2 linked regions of the Macaca fascicularis genome follow. The protein of the gene in region 1 interacts with the protein of each later gene in a pairwise test. Links are inferred from orthologs where the notes say so. Each region holds a gene or a part of one and is shown on either strand. Other genes may lie near its edges.

Evidence for each region.
Region 2: the proteins of CRX (region 1) and LARP4 interact in binary tests that used the Homo sapiens proteins (3 or more experiments, as listed by UniProt). The two-hybrid records come from large-scale screens. The link is inferred for Macaca fascicularis from reciprocal best matches to the Homo sapiens genes CRX and LARP4.

Annotation. Positions count from the first base shown.
Region 1 is NC_088393.1:55,838,362-55,848,069, forward strand, and holds part of CRX (cone-rod homeobox protein), read left to right. Parts: intron 1-4,191; 5' UTR 4,192-4,226; coding exon 4,227-4,326; intron 4,327-6,054; coding exon 6,055-6,206; intron 6,207-9,661; coding exon 9,662-9,708. UniProt on the Homo sapiens protein: Transcription factor that binds and transactivates the sequence 5'-TAATC[CA]-3' which is found upstream of several photoreceptor-specific genes, including the opsin genes.
Region 2 is NC_088385.1:57,240,712-57,250,519, reverse strand, and holds the start of LARP4 (la-related protein 4), read right to left. Parts: upstream 5,540-9,808; 5' UTR 5,413-5,539; coding exon 5,395-5,412; intron 5,021-5,394; exon of another isoform or gene 4,949-5,020; intron 1-4,948. UniProt on the Homo sapiens protein: RNA binding protein that binds to the poly-A tract of mRNA molecules. Associates with the 40S ribosomal subunit and with polysomes. Plays a role in the regulation of mRNA translation.

The sequences.
Region 1 (9,708 bases):
GAGGAACTCTCAGAGGGTTTCATGTTCTGTTTGCTTTTTTGAAGATTTCATTGTTGTTTTTGCTTTTGACAAAACCACACACACACATGAATGCACACACGCACAATTAAAAAGGAATCCAAACTATAGAAACAAGATATGGCTTTAGCACTCCTTCCCAGAGGCAGTCACTGGTACCAGTAGCTTGCTTCCTTCCTGGGAATTTTCTATGCACATGCAAGTGTATATTCTACACATGAGTAAAGTCAATGCCTCATTTTATTAATTAATTAATAATGATAATACTTATTATTTTTGAGATGGAGTCTCACTCTGCCACCCAGGCTGGAGTGCACTGGCACAATCTCGGCTCACTGCAAACTCCACCTCCCAGGTTCCAGAGGGTCTCCTGCCTCAGCTTCCCAAGTAGCTGGGATTACAGGCATGCACCACCATGCCTGGCTAATTTTTATGTTTTAATTTTATTTTTATTTTTAAATTTATGTTATTATTATTACTTTTTTTTTGAGATGGAGTTTCGCTCTTGTTGCCCAGGCTGGAGTGCAATGGCGGGATCTCGGCTCACTGCAACCTCTGCCTCCCGGGTTCAAGCGATTCTCCTGCCTCAGCCTCTGGAGTAGCTGGGATTACAGGCGCCCACCACCATGCCCGCCTAATTTTGTATTTTTAGTAGAGACAGGGTTTTGCCATGTTGACCAGGCTGGTCTCGAACTCTTTTTTTTTTTTTTTTAATTAATGTCATTAACTTTAATAAAGACTCTTAAAATGTCAAAACAAAACCCCCAAATAGAGATGGATCAGACGGTTCATGCATAGGTTTGCTGTTCACTGATATATCATTAATAAATGTTCCATTTCACTCATTTATGGTAAGTTAAAGGAAAATATCTTATAATTTTAAAGGCATACTTATTTTAAAATAAAGTATCAAGAATAATTACATACTTTTCTTTAGTGCAATGAGATGATAGCCTGAAATGTTAATCTGTGCTTTATTCCTTGGTCTTTCTTGTGACTTCCTGCCATGTGCTCCTTAGTCAGACAGCAGGGAAGGTAGTACCAACAGTTTTCTTTTTTGTTGTTGTTGTTTTTTTTGTTTTTTTTTTTTGTTTTTTTTTGTTTTTTTTATTATTTTTCTTTTTTTAAAAATTTATTTATTATTATTATACTTTAAGTTGTAGGGTACATGTGCATAACGTGCAGGTTTGTTACATATGTATACTTGTGCCATGTTGGTGTGCTGCACCCATCAACTTGTCATTTACATCAGGTATAACTCCCAATGCAATCCCTCCCCCCTCCCCCCTCCCCATGACAGGCCCCTGTGTGTGATGTTCCCCTTCCTGAGTCCAAGTGATCTCATTGTTCAGTTCCCACCTATGAGTGAGAACATGCGGTGTTTGGTTTTCTGTTCTTGTGATAGATTGCTAAGAATGATGGTTTCCAGCTGCATCCATGTCCCTACAGTTTTTTGTATTTTTTAGTAGAGACGGGGTTTCACTGTGTTAGCCAGGATGGTCTCGATCTCCTGACCTCGTGATCCACCCGTCTCGGCCTCCCAAAGTGCTGGGATTACAGGCTTGAGCCACCGCGCCCGGCCTGTTTTTTTTTTTTTTGAGATGAAGTCTCACTCTTGTCCCCCAGGCTGGAGTGCAGTGGCACGATCTCTGCTCACTGCAACTTCCGCCTCCTGGGCTCAAGCGATTCTCCTGCCTCAGCCTCCTGAGTAGCTGGGATTGCAGACACCTGCCACCATGCCCGGCTAATTTTTGTATTTTTAGTAGAGACGGGGTTTCACCATGTTGGCCAGGTTAGTCTCGAACTCCCGACCTCAGGTGATCCGGCCACCTTGGCCTCCCAAAATTCTGGGATTAGAGGCATGAGCCGCTGCGCCCGGCCCCTAGAACAATTTGTTAAAACCGTATACTAGAGATCTTTTAAAATCAGTTCAGAGAGCAGCCTTATGCTTTTTTTTTTTTTTTTTTTTTTTTTGAGACAGAGTCTTGCTCTGTCACCCAGGCTGGAGTACAGTGGCGCGATCTTGGCTTACTGCAACTTTTGCCTCCCGGGTTCAAGTGATTCTCCTGCCTCAGCCTCCTGAGTAGCTGGGATTACAGTCATGTGCCACCACGCCCAGCTTTTTTTGTATTTTCAGTAGAGACGGGGTTTCACCATGTTGGCCAGGCTGGTCTCGAGCTCCTGACCTTCGGTGATCCGCCCGCCTTGGCCTCCCAAAGTGCTGAGATTACAGGCGTGAACCACTGTGCCCAGGCTTACTTTAAAAATAAAAAATTAATTTTTTGTAGAGACAGGAGAGTTTCGCTATGTTGCCACCTGAACATAAATGCTATTTTCTTTTTCTTTTCTTTTTTTTGAGACGGAGTCTGTAGCCCAGGCTAGGTTGTGGTGGCACCATCTTGGCTCGCTACAATCTCTGCCTCCTGGGTTCAAGCGATTCTCCTGCCTCAGCCTCCCAAGTAGCTGGTATTATAGGCGTGCACCACCAGGCCCGGCTAATTTTTGTATTTTTAGTAAAGACGGGGTTTCACCATGTTGACCAGGCTAATCTCAAACTCCTGACCTCAAGTGATCTGCCTGCCTTGGTGTTCCAAAGTGCTGGGATTACAGGTGTGAGCCACTGCGCCTGGCCCATAAATGCGATTTTCATTCCCATTTTCCAACAAGGCGACTGAGGTATACATTGAAGGTGAATTACTAGGAGAAAAGAAAGATGGCATTTTAATTCGATAAGTTTGTTGCAACCTGTACTGCTTGCTACCTACCTGCCATGGGAGTGCGTCTTTCCCCACACTGACCCCAGTGCCGGAAGTTATCAACCTCTTTCATCTTTGCCAATCTGATAGGTCAAAAGTGATCGTGGAAGATCCACACTCACTGTTTTTTTTTTTTTTCTTTTCAGAGATGGGGGTCTCACTATGTTGCCCAGGCTGGTTTTGAACTTCTGGGCTCAAGTGATTCTCCTGCCTTGACCTCCCAAAGTGCTGGGATTGCAGGTGTGAGATGCCTTTCTTGGTCCTTACTGTAGTTTGTTGTTGTTGTTGTTGTTGTTGCTGTTTTGTTTTGTTTTGAGACAGAGTCTTGCTCTGTTGCCCAGGCTGGAGGGCGGTGGTGCCATCTCGGCCCACTGCAACCTCCGCCTCCCGGGTTCCAGCGATTCTCCTGCCTTAGTCTCCCGAGTAGCTGGGATTACAGGCGTGGGCCACCACGCCTGGCTAATTTTTGCATTTTTAATACAGACAGGATTTCACCACATTGGTCAGGCTGGTCTTGAACTCCTGACCTCAGGTGATCCGCCCATCTCAGCCTCCCAAAGTGCTGGGATTACAGGCATGAGCCACCTTGCCTGGCCTTTTTTAATGCCACTCTCCCTTAGGGTGACCAACCAATCCAGTTTGGCTGGGACCATTCTGGTTCTAGCCTGAAAGTCCTATGTTCCAAGATACAGCCACCTCTCCTCCATTCTGGGCAAAGAGGGATGGCTGGTCAACCTGCAGTCCTTGGTTATAAGTGAGGCTGAGCGTGTTTGCCCATGGTCACAGAAAGAAGGGATCTTGGATGAGGAAGTGTTACGGGATCAGATTGGTTTTTTTTTTTTCTTAGAGTCTTGCTGTGTCACCCAGGCTGGAGTACAGTGGCCTGAACACAGGTCACTGCAGGCCTAAACTCCTGGGCTCAAGTGATCCTCCCACCTCAGCCTCCTGGGTAACTGGGATTACAGGCATGCATCACCACACCCAGTTAACTTTTTAAAAAACACTTTTTTTTTTTTTTTTTTGGAGACAGGGTCTTGCTATATTGCCCAGGCTGGTCTCAAACTCCTGAGCTCAAGTGATCCTCCCGCCTTGGCCTCCCAAAGTGCTGGGACTACAGATGTGAGACATTGTGCCCAGCCAGGATGAGATTGTTTTAGAGGGTAGAGTAGGAATAAGAGCTCGCACTTATGAGGCGCGTCATCACTTCAGCTCTCTGCTTTGCAGAGTCTCAAGAAAGCTCTGAGAACCTTAAGCAGAGGCCATTTTACACGTGAGGACACAGAGGTACGGAGGTGAGATAAATGGCCAAGGTCACGTACCTAAGAGGAGACCAAGGCAGGATTTGAATCTCAGCCTGCTTGTCACCCCATGGTGAGTAACTGGTAAGTGAGTGAGCATCCCTCCTCTTCTCTTGCAGGCCCCCTGACTTGGGCCTCAGCGTCCCCGAAGATCATGATGGCGTATATGAACCCGGGGCCTCACTATTCTGTCAACGCCTTGGCCCTAAGTGGCCCCAGCGTGGATCTGATGCACCAGGCTGTGCCCTACCCAAGTGAGTACAGTCGTTTCTCTCGGCACCCCAGGCTGGCCTCACCTCTTAGAGGACCTCTGGGGTCCCTCTGCCCCAGGAAAAAAGCAGTCACAGGGGCGACTTCAGGGCCATATACCAGCCCTCTGGGTTCATCTGAAATGCATGTCACTTAGAAAAACATGTGCAGTCCTAGAAATTCAGGACAGAGGTTCCTTTTGGGGTGGGGAAGAGGAGATGTAATTTGGAAGGGGAATCAAGAGGAATTTTCATCTGTTAGCAAAACTTTATTATTTATTTATTTTTCAGAGATAGGGTCTCGCACTCTGTCGCCCAGGCTGGAGTGCGGTGGTGACGGTCACGGCTCACTGCAGCCTCAAACTCCTGGGTTTAAGCGATCCTCCCACCTTAGCATCCTGAGTAGCTGGGACTGCAGGTGTGAGCCATTGTGCCTAGGCAGCAAAGCTTTGTTTATTTTATTTTATTTTTGAGATAGGGTCTCATTCTGTTGTCCACTCTGAAGTGCAATGGTGCAATCATGGCTCACTGCAGCCTTGAACTCCTGGGCTCAAGCGATCCTCTTGCCTCGGCCTCCCAAATAGCTAGGATTACAGGTGCACGCTACCATGCCTGGCTAACTTTTTAAAGTTTTTGTAGATTGTGCAGGATCTGGATTATACAAAACATAGAAAAAATTAATTTTTTTTTTTTTGTAGAGATTGGGTCTCCCTATGTTGCCCAGGCTGATCTCAAACTCCTGGGTTCAAATAATTCACCTGACTCAGCCTCCCAAAGTGTTGGGCTTACAGGCATGAGCCACTGCACCTGGCCTGCAAAGCCTTATTTATTTATTTATTTATTTTGAGATGGAGTTTAGACGGACTTTCACTCCTGCCCAGGCTGGAGTGCAATGGTGCAATATTGGCTCACTGCAACTTCCGCCTCCCAGGTTCAAGTGACTCTCCTGCCTCAGCCTCCCAAGTAGCTGGGATTATAGGCACATGCCACCATGCCCAGCTAATTTTCATAAAGCCTTATTTTTAAGAGAAGTGAGCACTCAGTTATTTGTAGCATTATTCTTTAGCTCTTGTTTTTGTTTTTGTTTTTTGCATTACGTTGAGCGGTGTGGACTTGCTACTTTCTTTTTTTTTTTGAGACTGAACCTCGTTCTGTCACCAGGCTGGAGTGCAGTGGCGTAATCTCAGCTCACTGCAACCTCTGCCTTCTGGGTTCAAGCGATCCTCCTGCCTCAGCCTCCCGAGTAGCTGGGAGCCACCACGCCCGGCTAATTTTTTGTATTTTTAGTAGAGACAAGGGTTCACCATGTTGGCCAGGCTGGTTCTCGATCTCTTGACTTTGTGATCTGCCCGCCTCAGCCTCCCAAAGTGCTGGGATTACATGCGTGAGCCACCGCACCCAGCCCAGACTTGCTGCTTTTATAGGCTAGAAATGGTTGAATGTCAGCGATGTCATGCTTCAACTAAATATGTCTTAGTGCATGAGAAAGCTTAGAAGAGGGAAAACGACTCACATACCTCCTCATAGAGTTAAAGCCAATTCCCCTTGGGGTCAGGCAGGATTCACAGAGTGCCAGGCACAGAGGAAGGCGTAGAAGGGCAGGGAATGTGCATTCCATCCTTAGTTTAGGCAGATGGCAACCGGGATGGAATTCTTGGCATCCCACCCAGCCTCAGGGCCTCACATCAGCCCATGGTGGATGACCTGAGGGTCCTGTTTCCCTTCCCACCCCAGGCGCCCCCAGGAAGCAGCGGCGGGAGCGGACCACCTTCACCCGGAGCCAACTGGAGGAGCTGGAGGCACTGTTTGCCAAGACCCAGTACCCAGACGTCTATGCCCGCGAGGAGGTGGCTCTGAAGATCAATCTGCCCGAGTCCAGGGTTCAGGTGGGGTGGAGGGTCCCTGGACCCCTCCCGACCCTTCCTGTGACCTTCCAGGGGCCTCCCTGGAACTCAGAGTGATGGGAGGAGGGAGCGATCACAGAGTGACAGCCAAAGTTATCAGGGAGACAATAATTCCTCTCCCCACCATACCACTGACCGCCTCTTAAGGCTCTCATCGCCCCTCGCTCCTCTCCAGCCGCGCCGGGCACTGACCTGCCTGCCAAGCACCCTCCTGCCTCGGGCCTTTGCACTAAGTTTCCTCTATCTGGAATCCTTATTTTCCAGATAACCACACAGCAGGCCCCTTGTTCGAGTCTTTGTTTTTCTATCAGTGAGACCCATGCTGAACACAGCATTTAACATTGCAGTATTTCCCCAAGACCCTGACTCTACTGCTGCCCACTATCCCGCTCAATCGTTTCCTCCACAGTGTCTGTCGCCCTCTGAGATACCATACAGTTTACGTGTGTTTGTATCTATCGCCCTCTGAGATACCATACAGTTGCATATGTTTGTAGGCTGCAGGTATGATGTTACGTATATGTGCCTACACACATGTGTATGATTGGAAGGATAAATGAAGTATGTGTGTTTATGTGATTGTATGTATGTATGATTAGATACATTAGTGCATAGCTATGTATGATGTTATGTGTGTACAATGTATGTGCCTATAATTGTATATTTGTATGTTCATATGATCATACGTTCATACAGTTTATGTAAGGTATCTCAGAGTCCGTTTATTTAGACTCTGTCTCTCCCAACTAGAATGTCAATTCCACTGATGGACCCTCAAGAGTAGCAGAAGATGGTTAATGCATGTTTGTTCATTGACTGAATAGACGGATGGATGGATGGGTGGGTGGATGCAGAGATGAATGTGTATGTGTGACTGTATATGTGTGTGTGCATGTATGACTGGAAGCACGGATGAGTGTATGTATGTGCATCTATGAGTGTCTGTGTGTATGATGGACGGATACATTTATATATATGTGTTTGTATGAATGCATGTAGGTATGATTAGATAGATGACGAATGTATGCACACATGATATATGTATACATGATGTATGTACACATGTACAATTGTATGTCTACATGCATGCATGCATGATTGGATGGATGGATGGGTGTATTTATTTATTTATTTGAAACAGAGTCTCACTCTGTCGCCCAGGCTGGAATGGCACAATCTCGGCTCACTGCAACCTCCGCCTCCTGGCTTCAAGCAATTCTCCTGCCTCAGCCTCCTGCGTAGCTGGAATTACAGGCACGCACCACCATACCGGGCTAATTTTTGTATTTTAATAGAGACAGGATTTCACCATGTTGGTCAGGCTGGTGTCGAACTCCTGACCTCATGATCCACCTGCTTCGGACTCCCAAAGTGCTGGGATTACAGATGTGAGCCACCGTGTCCGGCTGGATTGGTGTATTTATGTATATATGAGTGTATGCAGGTGTATGTGATTGGACAGATAAATAAAATGTGTGTGTTTGTGTGATTAGACATAGGTATGATTGGATAAATTAATGTGTATATGTGTACGATGTATGTGTATATGTGTACGATGTATGTGTGTATGATGTATGTGTGTATAATTGTATATTTGTATGCTTGTATAATCAGATGCATGGATGAATGTTCATATGATGTATGTATGATTAGATAGATCCATTAATGTGTGTATGATGTATGTGTGTATGATGTATGTACATATAATTATATGTATAAGACGAATGGATGAATCTACATATGATGTACATGTACAATTGTATGTATCATCAGATGGATAAGTGTATGTCTGATGTATGTATGATCAGATGGACTGGTGAATGTTTGTACAACATATACATGTGTGAGGTATATATGTATGATCAGATGGATGTCTACATAATGTATGTGTGTATGGTGTATGTATGTATAATTGTATGCATGTATGTTTGTATGCTGCAGGTATGATGTTACGTATATGTGCATATACACATGTGTATGATTGGAAGGATAAATGAAATATGTGTGTTTGTGTGATTGTATGTATGTATGGTTAGATTAGTGCATAGTTATGTATGATGTTATGTGTGTACAATGTATGTGCCTATAATTGGATATTTGTATGTTCATATGACCAGATGGATGAATACGTGTATGAAGTATGTATGATCAGATAGATGGATAAATGTATGCATGATGCATGCATGTATAGTGCATGCCTGTATAATTGTATGTGTGTATGTTTGTATTAGATGGATGGATGAATGCCTGTAGGGTATGATGTATGTATGCATGCATGCATGATTGGATGAATGGATGGGTTTATTTATGTATATATGAGTGTATGCATGTATATATAATTAGATGGATAAATGAAATATGTGTTTGTATGATCGTATGTATGGATTAATGTGTATATATGTATGATGTATGTGTGTATGATGTATGTGTGTACAATGTATGTATGTATAATTGTATATCTGTATGATCAGATGGATGGATGAATATGTGTATGATGTATGTATGTATGATCAGATGGCTCCATTAATGCATGTATGATGTATGTGTGTATAATGTATGTATGTACACTTGCATGTATGATCAGATGGACCAGGGAATGTATATATGATGTATATGTATATGATGTATGTATGTATGATCAGATAGATGGGTAAATGTAGGCATGACGCATCTGTGTATGGTGTATTTATGTATAATTGTACATGTGTGTGTTTGTATTAGATGGATGAATATGTGTATGATGTATGTATGATCATGTAGATGGGCAAATGTAGGCATGATGTATGTGCGTATGGTGTATGTATGTATAACTGTATGTGTGCATGTTTGTATTAGATGGGTGGATGAATATGTATATGGTGTATGTATGTATGATCAGATGGCTCCATTAATGCATGTATGACGTATGTGTGTATGATGTATGTATGTACACTTGCATGTATGATCAGATGGACCAGGGAATGTATGTATGATGTATATGTGTGTGATGTATGCATGTGTGATCAGATAGATGGGTAAATGTAGGCATGATGTACATGTGTATGGTGTATGTATGTATAATTGTACGTGTGCATGCTTGTATTAGATGGGTGGATGAATATGTGTATGATGTATGTATGATCATATAGATGGGTAAATGTAGGCATGATGTATGTACTTATGGTGTATGTATGCATAATGGTATGTGTGCATGTTTGTATTAGATGGATGGATGAATGCCTGTAGGTATGACGTATGTTTGTGTTCATGCACACACGCAGGTATGATTGGATGGATAGATGGATGGATGGATGAATAGATGCCCCACAGCTGGATGCAAAGTAGAGAGATGTGACCTCAGCACCTTTCACCAACAAGGGTCCTCATCCCTGAGCACCCTGCGGCTCTCCTGGGCCTCTTCCCCACTTACCTACCCCCATCTCCCCTCTTACCCTCAGGTTTGGTTCAAGAACCGCAGGGCTAAATGCAGGCAGCAGCGGCAGCA
Region 2 (9,808 bases), on another chromosome or scaffold:
CTCAGCCTCCCAAAGTGTTGAGATTACAGGCATGAGCCACGTTATCCAACCTAAAAAACTTTTATTTAAAAGTTATTAAAGCATCCGAAGGCATATGAAACTTAACTGCTACCTAAGTAAGTAATTATAAGTATAGTTGGCCCTCCATATCCATGAGTTCCATATACATCAGTGGAGAAATCAATCACAGATCAAAAATACTCAGAAAAAAAAAATCGTTGCATTTGTACTGACCATGTAGAGACTTTTTTCTTATCACTCTATAAATACAATATAGCAACTATTTCCAAAGCATTTACATTGTAACAGATATTATAAATAATCGAGATGATTTAACATATACAGGAAGATGTGCATAGGTTATATGCAAATACTACGCCTTTTTATGTAAGACTTGAGCATCCAAGGTTTTTGGCATCTAAAGAGGGTCCTGGAACCAATTTCCCACAGATACCGAGGGACAACTGTCTTCATTTTCAGGGAAAAACTCAAACAGAGACAGAAACACAATTTTAGTAGTCACTGCATACCCACCCTTCCCAGCCTCTAGTTTTAATTTTTTTAAACAAAAATTTCAGCCTGAGCAAAAAAACACAACCATGTCTCTACAAAAAAATACCAAAAAAGAAAAAAATTAGCCAGGCATGGTGGTACATGCCTATGGTCCCAGCTACTTTGGAGGCTGAGGTGGGAGGATCACTTAAGCCAGGGAGGCGGAGGCTGCAGCAAACGAGACTCTGTCTCAAAAAAGAAAAAATTTAAAATTAAAAAAAACTTTAAAAGAGAGAAATGAAAAAAAAAATTTTAATTACAATCTGCCTCCTTAGGGCTCAAAAGTTTTAAGTAACTTGATAGCATTCAGATGAACGTAGTACAATGCAGTTTCAAACTTACAAAAAATTTGTTGTAAAATAATTTAAGAAGGGTCATGTCTGATGACTGTGAATCATCCAAACTTCTACCTCTTTCCAGAGAGGGACATTGTTTGTTTCTCCTTCAGAACAGAGATGATTAAAAAAAAAAAAAACAAAAAACAAACAACGAAAAAACAATAATCGGCTGGGTGCTGTAGCTCACGCCTGTAATCCCAGCACTCTAGGAGGCCGAGGAGGGCGGATCACTTGAGGTCAGCTGTTCGAGACCAGCCCTGCCAATATGGCAAAACCCATGTCTACTAAAAATAAAAAATAAAAAATTAGCCAGGCATGGTAGCGCATGCCTGAAGACCCAGCTACTAGGGAGGCTGAGGCAGAAGAACTGCTTGAACCCGCCGGGCACGGTCGCTCACGCCTGTAATCCCAGCACTTGGGGAGGCCGAGGTAGGCAAATCATGGGGTCAAGAGAGACCATCCTGGCCAACATGGTGAAACCCTATCTCTACCAAAAATACAAAAATTAGTTGGGCGTGGTGGCACGCGCCTGTAGTACCAGCTACTCGGGAGGCTAAAGCAGGAGGATCGCTTGAACCCAGGAGGTGGAGGTTGCAGTGAGCCCAGATCGCGCCACTGCACTCCAGCCTGGCAACAAAGAAAGACTCAGTCTCAAAAAAAAAAAAAAAAAAAAAAAAAAAAAGGACCTGCTTGATCCCAGGACACAGAGGTTTCTGAGATTGCGCCACTCTCTAGTCTGGGTGACAGAGAGAGACTCAGTCTCAAGCGGAAAAAAAATAAAACTAATAATCTACTGAAGTCAGTAGAGCGGGTCTTGCTCTGTCACCTGGCCTGGAATGCCATGGCAGAGTCACAACTCATTCCAGCTTTCACCTCCCATACTCAACCGAAACTCCTGCCTCAGCCTCCCGAGTAGCTGGGACTACAGGCGCGTGCCACCACATTGGGCCCAAGGCCAGGTTTTAAAAACTTGCATCTAAGTATTATTTACATAGGATTCCTTGTCTGCAATATATTCTACTCCAATATAAGTAGGTGGTTGATGAGTTCAAGCTTCCACGTTCACTAACTGTGTAAAAACTTAGGCAAGTTTAAATTCTCTGTGCCTTAGTTTCTTTTTTTTGAGACAGTCTCACTCTGTTGTCCAGGCTGGAATACAGTGGCACCATCTCAGCTCACTGCAACCTCTGCCTCCCAGGTTCAAGCGATTCTCCTACCTTAGCCTCCCATGTAGCTGGGATTACAGGTGTGTGCCACCACATCTGGCTAATTTTTGTATTTTTAGTAGAGATGGGGTTTCACCATGTTGGCCAGGCTGGTCTCAAACTCCTGACCTCAGGTGATCCGCCGCCCACCTCAGTCTTCCAAAGTGCTGGGATTACAGGCATAAGCCACTGTGCCTGGCTGCCTTAGTTTCCTTATCACTAAAATGGGGATACTAACACCTCATAGAGATATTGAGACTTAAGATGTACAGATATCTATATATACAAAAACATCAAACGTTCCTGACACAAAGTACAATACAAGTATGTACTACTACTGTTATTATTGTTATATTGCTATTATCTATTCTACTGATTCTAGTGGGATAGTTAAGCTGGAATCTCTCCAGAAAAATACACATTAGTAAACGGTATTGAACACAATTGCAGAGGACCCAGGGATCCCAGATTAATCCTGCCAAAGATGATCCACAAGCAACTTGGTTAGTAAAGCAGTTCTTAACCTGTTTTGTGACAAAGACCTCTTCAGTAGTCCAATTAATCTATGGATCCCTTCTCAGAGTTTTTTTAAATTTCTAAAATATATAGGATCACAAAGTAAACTAATTATATTGAAACACAGTTGTCAAAATATTTTAAAATGTCTAATATAGCAATACATTAAATAACAATATTTTTGACATATAGCAAGTAATGAGCATAAATATTTCAAGATATCTGCAAAAACTGTAATATATGTTAAAAAGTGATTTGTCTTGGTGACAAGGTCACAGACACTGTTGCTGCCATTAACATTTAAAGAATTTTCACTTCTTTTCCATTTAGATTTCAGTTAGAAACTAGTGAAAATAAACAATTTTTTTTCCCCAACCAAGCTCAGGTACTTACTTCCTCAATTCTATCCAAAAACCTAGATTCAGAACCTTTGACTTATGGGAAAGTGCAAAAATAATTTTGGAGCCAGAAATTTATGTTCTAGAAGCCAGACTTCAGACTTTAACCCCCACATTATTTACACTTGAATGACCTTAGATATCTAACTTCTGAGCTTTGGTTCTCTCACTGAGAATAATTCCTCTATCATGAGGTTACTGGGATCAAATACTAGTTAACAAAACATCAAATGACCAATATGTTGTTTTTCACTGATTTTAAAACCACATATTCAGCCCCAAATATTTAAAGACAGCTAATTTTCAATAAAACTCATATGAGAAAATGAAGAACGACATAGTGATTCACAAAGAAAATGATTAATGGAGATACAACTTTTAAATAATAGTTTGGCAGAGATATGGTAGAATTTGTCTAACCTGGGGAGTTGGACAGGCCTGAACTGCTAACATCCCGTCCATGATTTGACATCAGCAACACCTGGATCTAAATCCCAGTTACACTACTTTACTTTTACTAAGTAAAGTTACTTTAACTTCTGGGGCTCGGTTTTGTCATCTGTAGAATATTTTAAGTATTGCTTTAGAGACAGGAGAGGACCTAATTTAAACAATAAATGGGGCTGTTATTAAAACTTACATTTTAATAAAGCCAAAGGAATCAATTTGGAAGTCAAAAGTATATTGTGGAGCTCCCGTCAATATAAACTCCACAATCTTTCTTCCGCTCAGCAAAACACACACTTAAAACCTGTGGTATTTACATAGCATAACATTCCTAAAACAAAGTGGCCGGCAATGTCTTAAAATCCTATCTGATTTCTTATTCTGCCTAAGGAAAACAACAATGAGGATAGAAAACAGTAAACAGAATGAGTTCAGTAATTTTAAATCTTTTCATGATTTCCCCGGATGTTCCAATGAATGATTATTATTAATGTTAGATATACTCTAATGTAGCAGTCTTTTAAAACACTAAAGATGTCAAGCTTATCGGCGACACAATGTCAGTTAAACAGAAAAAAAACCCTAAAATCATTTATTTACTTTATGCTGGAACATTATGGATTAAGATTTTCCCACGGGGGGAGGGGGGAGGGATAGCATTAGGAGATATACCTAATGTAAATGACGAGTTAATGGGTGCAGCACACCAACATGGCACGTGTATACATATGTAACAAACCTGCACGTTGTGCACATGTACCCTAGAACTTAAAGTATAATTTTAAAAAAAAAGTCGAAAAATTAAAAAATAAAATAATAAAAATTTTCCCACAACCGGGAAAAAAAAAAATCTGCCATAGGCTGGCCCCGGCTCCTAGACCCATTATACAACCTGTAAATTCCTTCCCTCATTGAAAAGATTATTTTTATGGGCATAGTTAACAAACGCCAAGTTGCGAAGTTGCAGCTTTGCTGGTTTGACGTTTTCACAATGTAAGAACAATATGATCTGGAATCTACTCAAAGCATTAGCCAGGCAGTCAGCTGACGCTTACTGCACACAAGAGGACAGAATGAAGGGAAATTAAATTTCGTATTTCTGTAAGGCAGGTCTCCAACTCTATCTTGAAAACTAAATAGGCCAACAGCAGATGTTCTAGTTTAAGTAATAAAAGTATCTCATTGTTCAAGTAACATTACAAACACCGGCTTTTCCCGGAATAAGTTTCTCTCCTTCTTGGAATTTTCCTTGTAAAGGGCTTTTAATCGGTTCATAGAACCAACCCTTCATCACGCAGTTGCTGCTTGAGTAACTTTTACAAAAGGTCAAAGCGGTGCCTTTCAAGGCTTCCAAACCCTACTGGCTTCTCCTCGATTCAAAGTAACTCGCTTTCACCCACAGAACGTTCCAGAGACCTAGGGACGGGGCCCGGGCAGAATTTGGTGGAGGTTGCTCAAAGAACTTTTTCAATTTTCTTTTCAAAACACTTACCGCATTTCACCTTCCTCCATCCGTGGCCCCACATGTTGCTCGCCTCCCTCCCAGAGGGCCCCGCGAGGCCGCGCTCGGCCCCCGGAACGCGCCCACCTGATTACCCTCTCCTCTCAGACTCCGCCCCCGAACCCCCCAATGCCGTCTCCTTTAGGAGGTCCATATGGGACACTTTACCCCTCCTCTGAACCTCACGCCACACCAGACCAGCCCTCCGTTCTTCTCCTTCAATTCTTCTCCATTACGGGCATCACCTCCCATAGCTTCCTAGAGTGTTGTGAGCGCGCAGAGGGAAGCTGCAGGCCTGCTCGGCCCAGGTGCTGTGTCAGCCTATCTGCCGGTTCCGCGGCGTGTACGGCCCGGAAAGTCACATGGCGGTGGGACCGGCCGGCACCTCTACACTCCTGCTCTCCTAAGAGCAGGACGAGACTAGCAAATCCACTCACCTCCACGAAAAGCAACATGTCGTCCTCTGCTCGGCCCAATCGTTCCCGCCGCCGCAACTCCAACTGGCTCACAGGCCCGCGCCCCACTTGCTAGGATAAGGACACACACTCGCCTTGCCCCTCCACCCGGCAGTGGACCCGGCTCCTCCCCCGCCGTCAGCGGCTGCGGCCTGACCCGCCCAGTCCCACCTCCCTTGAAACAACAACTGCTTCCGGGTCTAGGGAAAAATTGTTTCCGGCAGAAAAGAGTCGTCGACGCGCTCAACTTTTGCACCATCTTTTCTAGCAACAGTGTGGGATGTACTATCATCTGTCGCGGGGGGGACGATTAGCAGGAGATGCCATTCTGGGGCACGGGGATGTGTAAAAATCTTAATGACACATTTTATCACTTGTCAGATAGCTACACAGCACTGATAATTCCGCAGTTTTCGTAGTTCACAATCTAGATTTGATTTTTAAAGCCGACCTTGGCGACGTGTGCTGAACAAACGTCCAACCCTGCCGAAAAGTGGTGGCTCACAGAAGAAAAGTAGACAAGAAAAAAAAAAGCTATAAAAAGCTATGATAGTAGTAAATACGTTAATAGCAGCTACTGTATATTAAATGCTTACATTGTGCTTGGCACTATACTGAGCATTTTATGTTAATTGATCTTAAAACAATTTTATGCAATAAATAATATTATTATCATCCCCATTTTACAGTTGAAGGAGCCCTCTAGGAGGTTGGGTTTCGCTTTGACACACCTTTAAAGAACTTTGCCCTGGGCTCATTTGAATTAGTTACCCATATCTCCACTTAATATACTAGTAACAACGCTTAATCTGTATAGTCTCTTCTTTGATATTCTGTCATTAATTCAAAAGAAATACAATAAAAACAAATTTTTTAAATTATCTATAATATTTGTTAGATGGTCCAAATTCCTTATCTTTAGCAATATGTCCCTCCCTTACCACTCCCACGTCTACGTCCTAGTTCAAACACTCATCTTTTGAAATAATCATGTATTGGCTGGGAGGGGTGGCTCACACCTACAATCCCAGCACTTTGGAAGGCTGAGGCGGACGGATCACTTGAGGTCAGGAGTTCAAGACCAGCCTGGCCAACATGGTAAAACCCCGTCTCTACTAAAAATACAAAAATTAGCCGGGTGTGATGGTGCACACCTGTAATCCCGGCTACTCCGGAGGCTGAGGCAGAATTGCTTGAACCCAGGAGGCAGAGATAACAGTGAACCGACATTGCGCCACTGCACTCCAGCCTGGGCAACTGAGTGAGACTCTGTCTCAAAAATAATAATCATTTGGTAATGAATAAAAATTGGCCGGGCGCCGTGGCTCATGCCTGTAATCCTAGCACTTTGGGAGGCCGAGGCGGGTGGATTGCCTTAGGTCAGGAGTTTGAGACCAGCCTGGGCAACACGGTGAAACCCCATCTCTAGTAAAATACAAAAAATCAGCCAGCCATGGCAGTGTGTGCCTGTAGTCCCAGCTACGTGGGAGGCTGAAGCAGGAGAATTGCTAGAACCCAGGAGGCAGAGGTTGCAGTGAGCCAAGATCACGGCACTGCACTCAAGCCTGGGTGACAGAGTGCGACTCTGTCTCTAAAAAATAATAATAATAAATAAATAAATATGAAATAATCATGTCTTGATCTTTTCCAATGGATTTTTCCATTATATTATTTTAAAAATCTTCCTCAAGTAAAGGTCTCATTTTCACCAAACCACTGTTAACTTGATTTCAAGACTTTGCCATTCTGATCTCATGAAATCTTCCTTGCTTTGCCGCAAATGGAATCTCCTCAGATACCACATTAATTCCACCACCAAATTGCTGATAGCTGTTATCTCAGACCCACCCTAATCTGGTTCTCGGTAAACTCCTGTTAGGTTATCTCAGTGATTAAACCAATCTCCTTACTTTCCCCCTGAGATGCAAACTCATTAGCACTCACCTCCAAAGCCATGGCTCAAGGTGTAGTCCCTATCTGGATTGCCTCCATTTGTCAATCAATCTTCTCTCTCCATAAGGTTTTCTCAAAGACTCTACTCCTATAGATCTCTTCCTCGTGTCCCTTATTAGCACTTGATTATTATATTCTATCTTAAATCTTTGCTTTTTCTTTTTTGTTTTAGTTTCTTTACAGGAACCCTATCATATATTCTTCAGTGTAGGATAATGTAAGCAGCATAGTGTTTCAACAAATGCTTGTCGAATAGAAAGGGAAGCAGGATTTAAAAATTGACTTTAAGAAGCCTTCGTGGTCGGGTGTGGTGGCTCATGCCTGTAATCCCAGCACTTTGGGAGGCTGAAGAGGGTAGATCACGAGGTCAGGAGATCAAGACGAGCCTGGCTAACACGGTGAAACTCCGTCTCTACTAAAAATACAAAAAATTAGCCAGGTGCCTGTAATCCCAGATACGCGGGAGGCTGAGGCAGGACAATGGCGTGAACCAGAGAAGCGGAGCTTGTAGTGAGCCTTGATCGTGATACTGCACTCCAGCCTGGGCAACAGAGTGAGATTCTGTCTCAAAGAAAAGCCTTCATGTCTAGTTGCTGATTGATGAATTCCATGCTGCATAAAAGATGCAAGTGAGAGAGAAAGCAATAATGCAAAATTAGTTTAGCTGACAACTAAACTTTGGGAGGCTGAGGTGAGTGGATCACTTGAGGAGTTTGAGACCAGCCTGGCCAACACAGTGAAACCCCATCTCTACCAAAAATATAAAAAATTAGCCAGGTATAGGCTGGGCACAGTGGCTCACGCCTGTAATCCCAGCACTTTGGGAGGCCGAGGCGGGCGGATCACAAGGTCAGGAGATCGAGACCATCCTGACTAACACGGTGAAACCCCATCTCTACTAAAAAATACAAAAAAAATTAGCCGAGCATAGTGGTGGGCACCTGTAGTCCCAGCTACTCGGGAGGCTGAGGCAGGAGAATGGCGTGAACCCAGGAGGCAGAGCTTGCAGTGAGCCGAGATTGCACCACTGCACTCCAGCCTGGGCCACAGGCGAGACTCCATCTCACATTAAAAAAAAAAAAAAATTAGCCAGGTGTGGTGGCGCACGCCTGTAATCCCAGCTACACAGAAGGCTGAGGTAGGAGAATCACTTGAACCTGGGAGGCAGAGGTTGCAGTGAGCTGAGATCGCGCTACTACACTCCAGCCTGGACAATAGAGTGAGACTCTGTCTCAAAAAAAAAAAAAAAGAAAGAAAGAAAGAAAAAATATATATATACACTTGTAATAAAACTATGTAAAAGTAGACTCAAATATGTAAAATTCATGATTGTCATTTCATCTGGAATGGGACAGTGGGGAAGGAAGGAACCAGGGGTTGGGAGACATCAAAGAGGACTTCGACCTTCTCTAATGCTTTTTTTAATTTAAAAAATATCTAAAGCAAATATTAAACAAAAATTAGCCAGGTGTGGTGGCGCGTGCCTGTAATTCCAGCTGAGGAATCTGAGAATCTGGGAGGTTGAGGCACAAGAATCTCTTGAACCTGGGAGGCAGAGGTTGCAGTGAACCGAGATCATGACACTGTGCTCCAGCCTGGGTAATAAAGTGAGACTCTGTCTCGAAAAAAAAAAAGTATAAAGAGTAAGCAGTGCAAAGAGTGTGATCCTCATCCAAATAATATCATCCAAGTTACTTCATCCAAATGATATCATCCAAGTTACTACATGTCTAGGAAAAGTTAAGGGGCAGCTGAGGAAGTAGTTGTAACCCTTATTCCATTACAGTGATATTTGACGCACCTAGATTTTTTTTTTTTTTTTTTCTGAGACAGTTTCACTCTTGTTGCCCAGGCTGGAGTGCAATGACACAATCTCGGCTCACCACAACCTCTGCCTCCCAGGTTCAAGTGATTCTCCTGCCTCAGCCTCCTGAGTAGCTGGGACTACAGGCATGTGCCACCTCGCCTGGCTGATTTTGTATTTTGTTTTTTAGTAGAGACAGGAGTTTCTCCATGTTGGTCAGGCTGGTCTCGAACTCCGACCTCTGGTGATCCGCCTGCCTCGGCCTCCCAAAGTGCTGGGATTACAGGCGTGAGCCACTGTGCCCAGCCAACATATCTAGATTTTAAGGTTATTTAAGCAGGGCTATATCTTCTATTTATTTTAGCATTTCTATTGTCTATTATTTCCTACCCTCCTTCCCCCCTTCACCCTTCTACCATGGCAGCATATAGAATGACCAGTTCTCTGCACATAGTAAGCACTCTTTACATGTTTGATCAATGATAATGTCACAATGGGTCTATTGTGACATCAACAGGACTGGAATATCATGGTAGCCACCAATTAGCAGCAGAGTATGCCACAACTTCTGGGAGCAGGAAAGACCTCTCCTAGCTTCCTACTGGATATCTTTATTAGCATTTTCGTAGATTCTGTGAA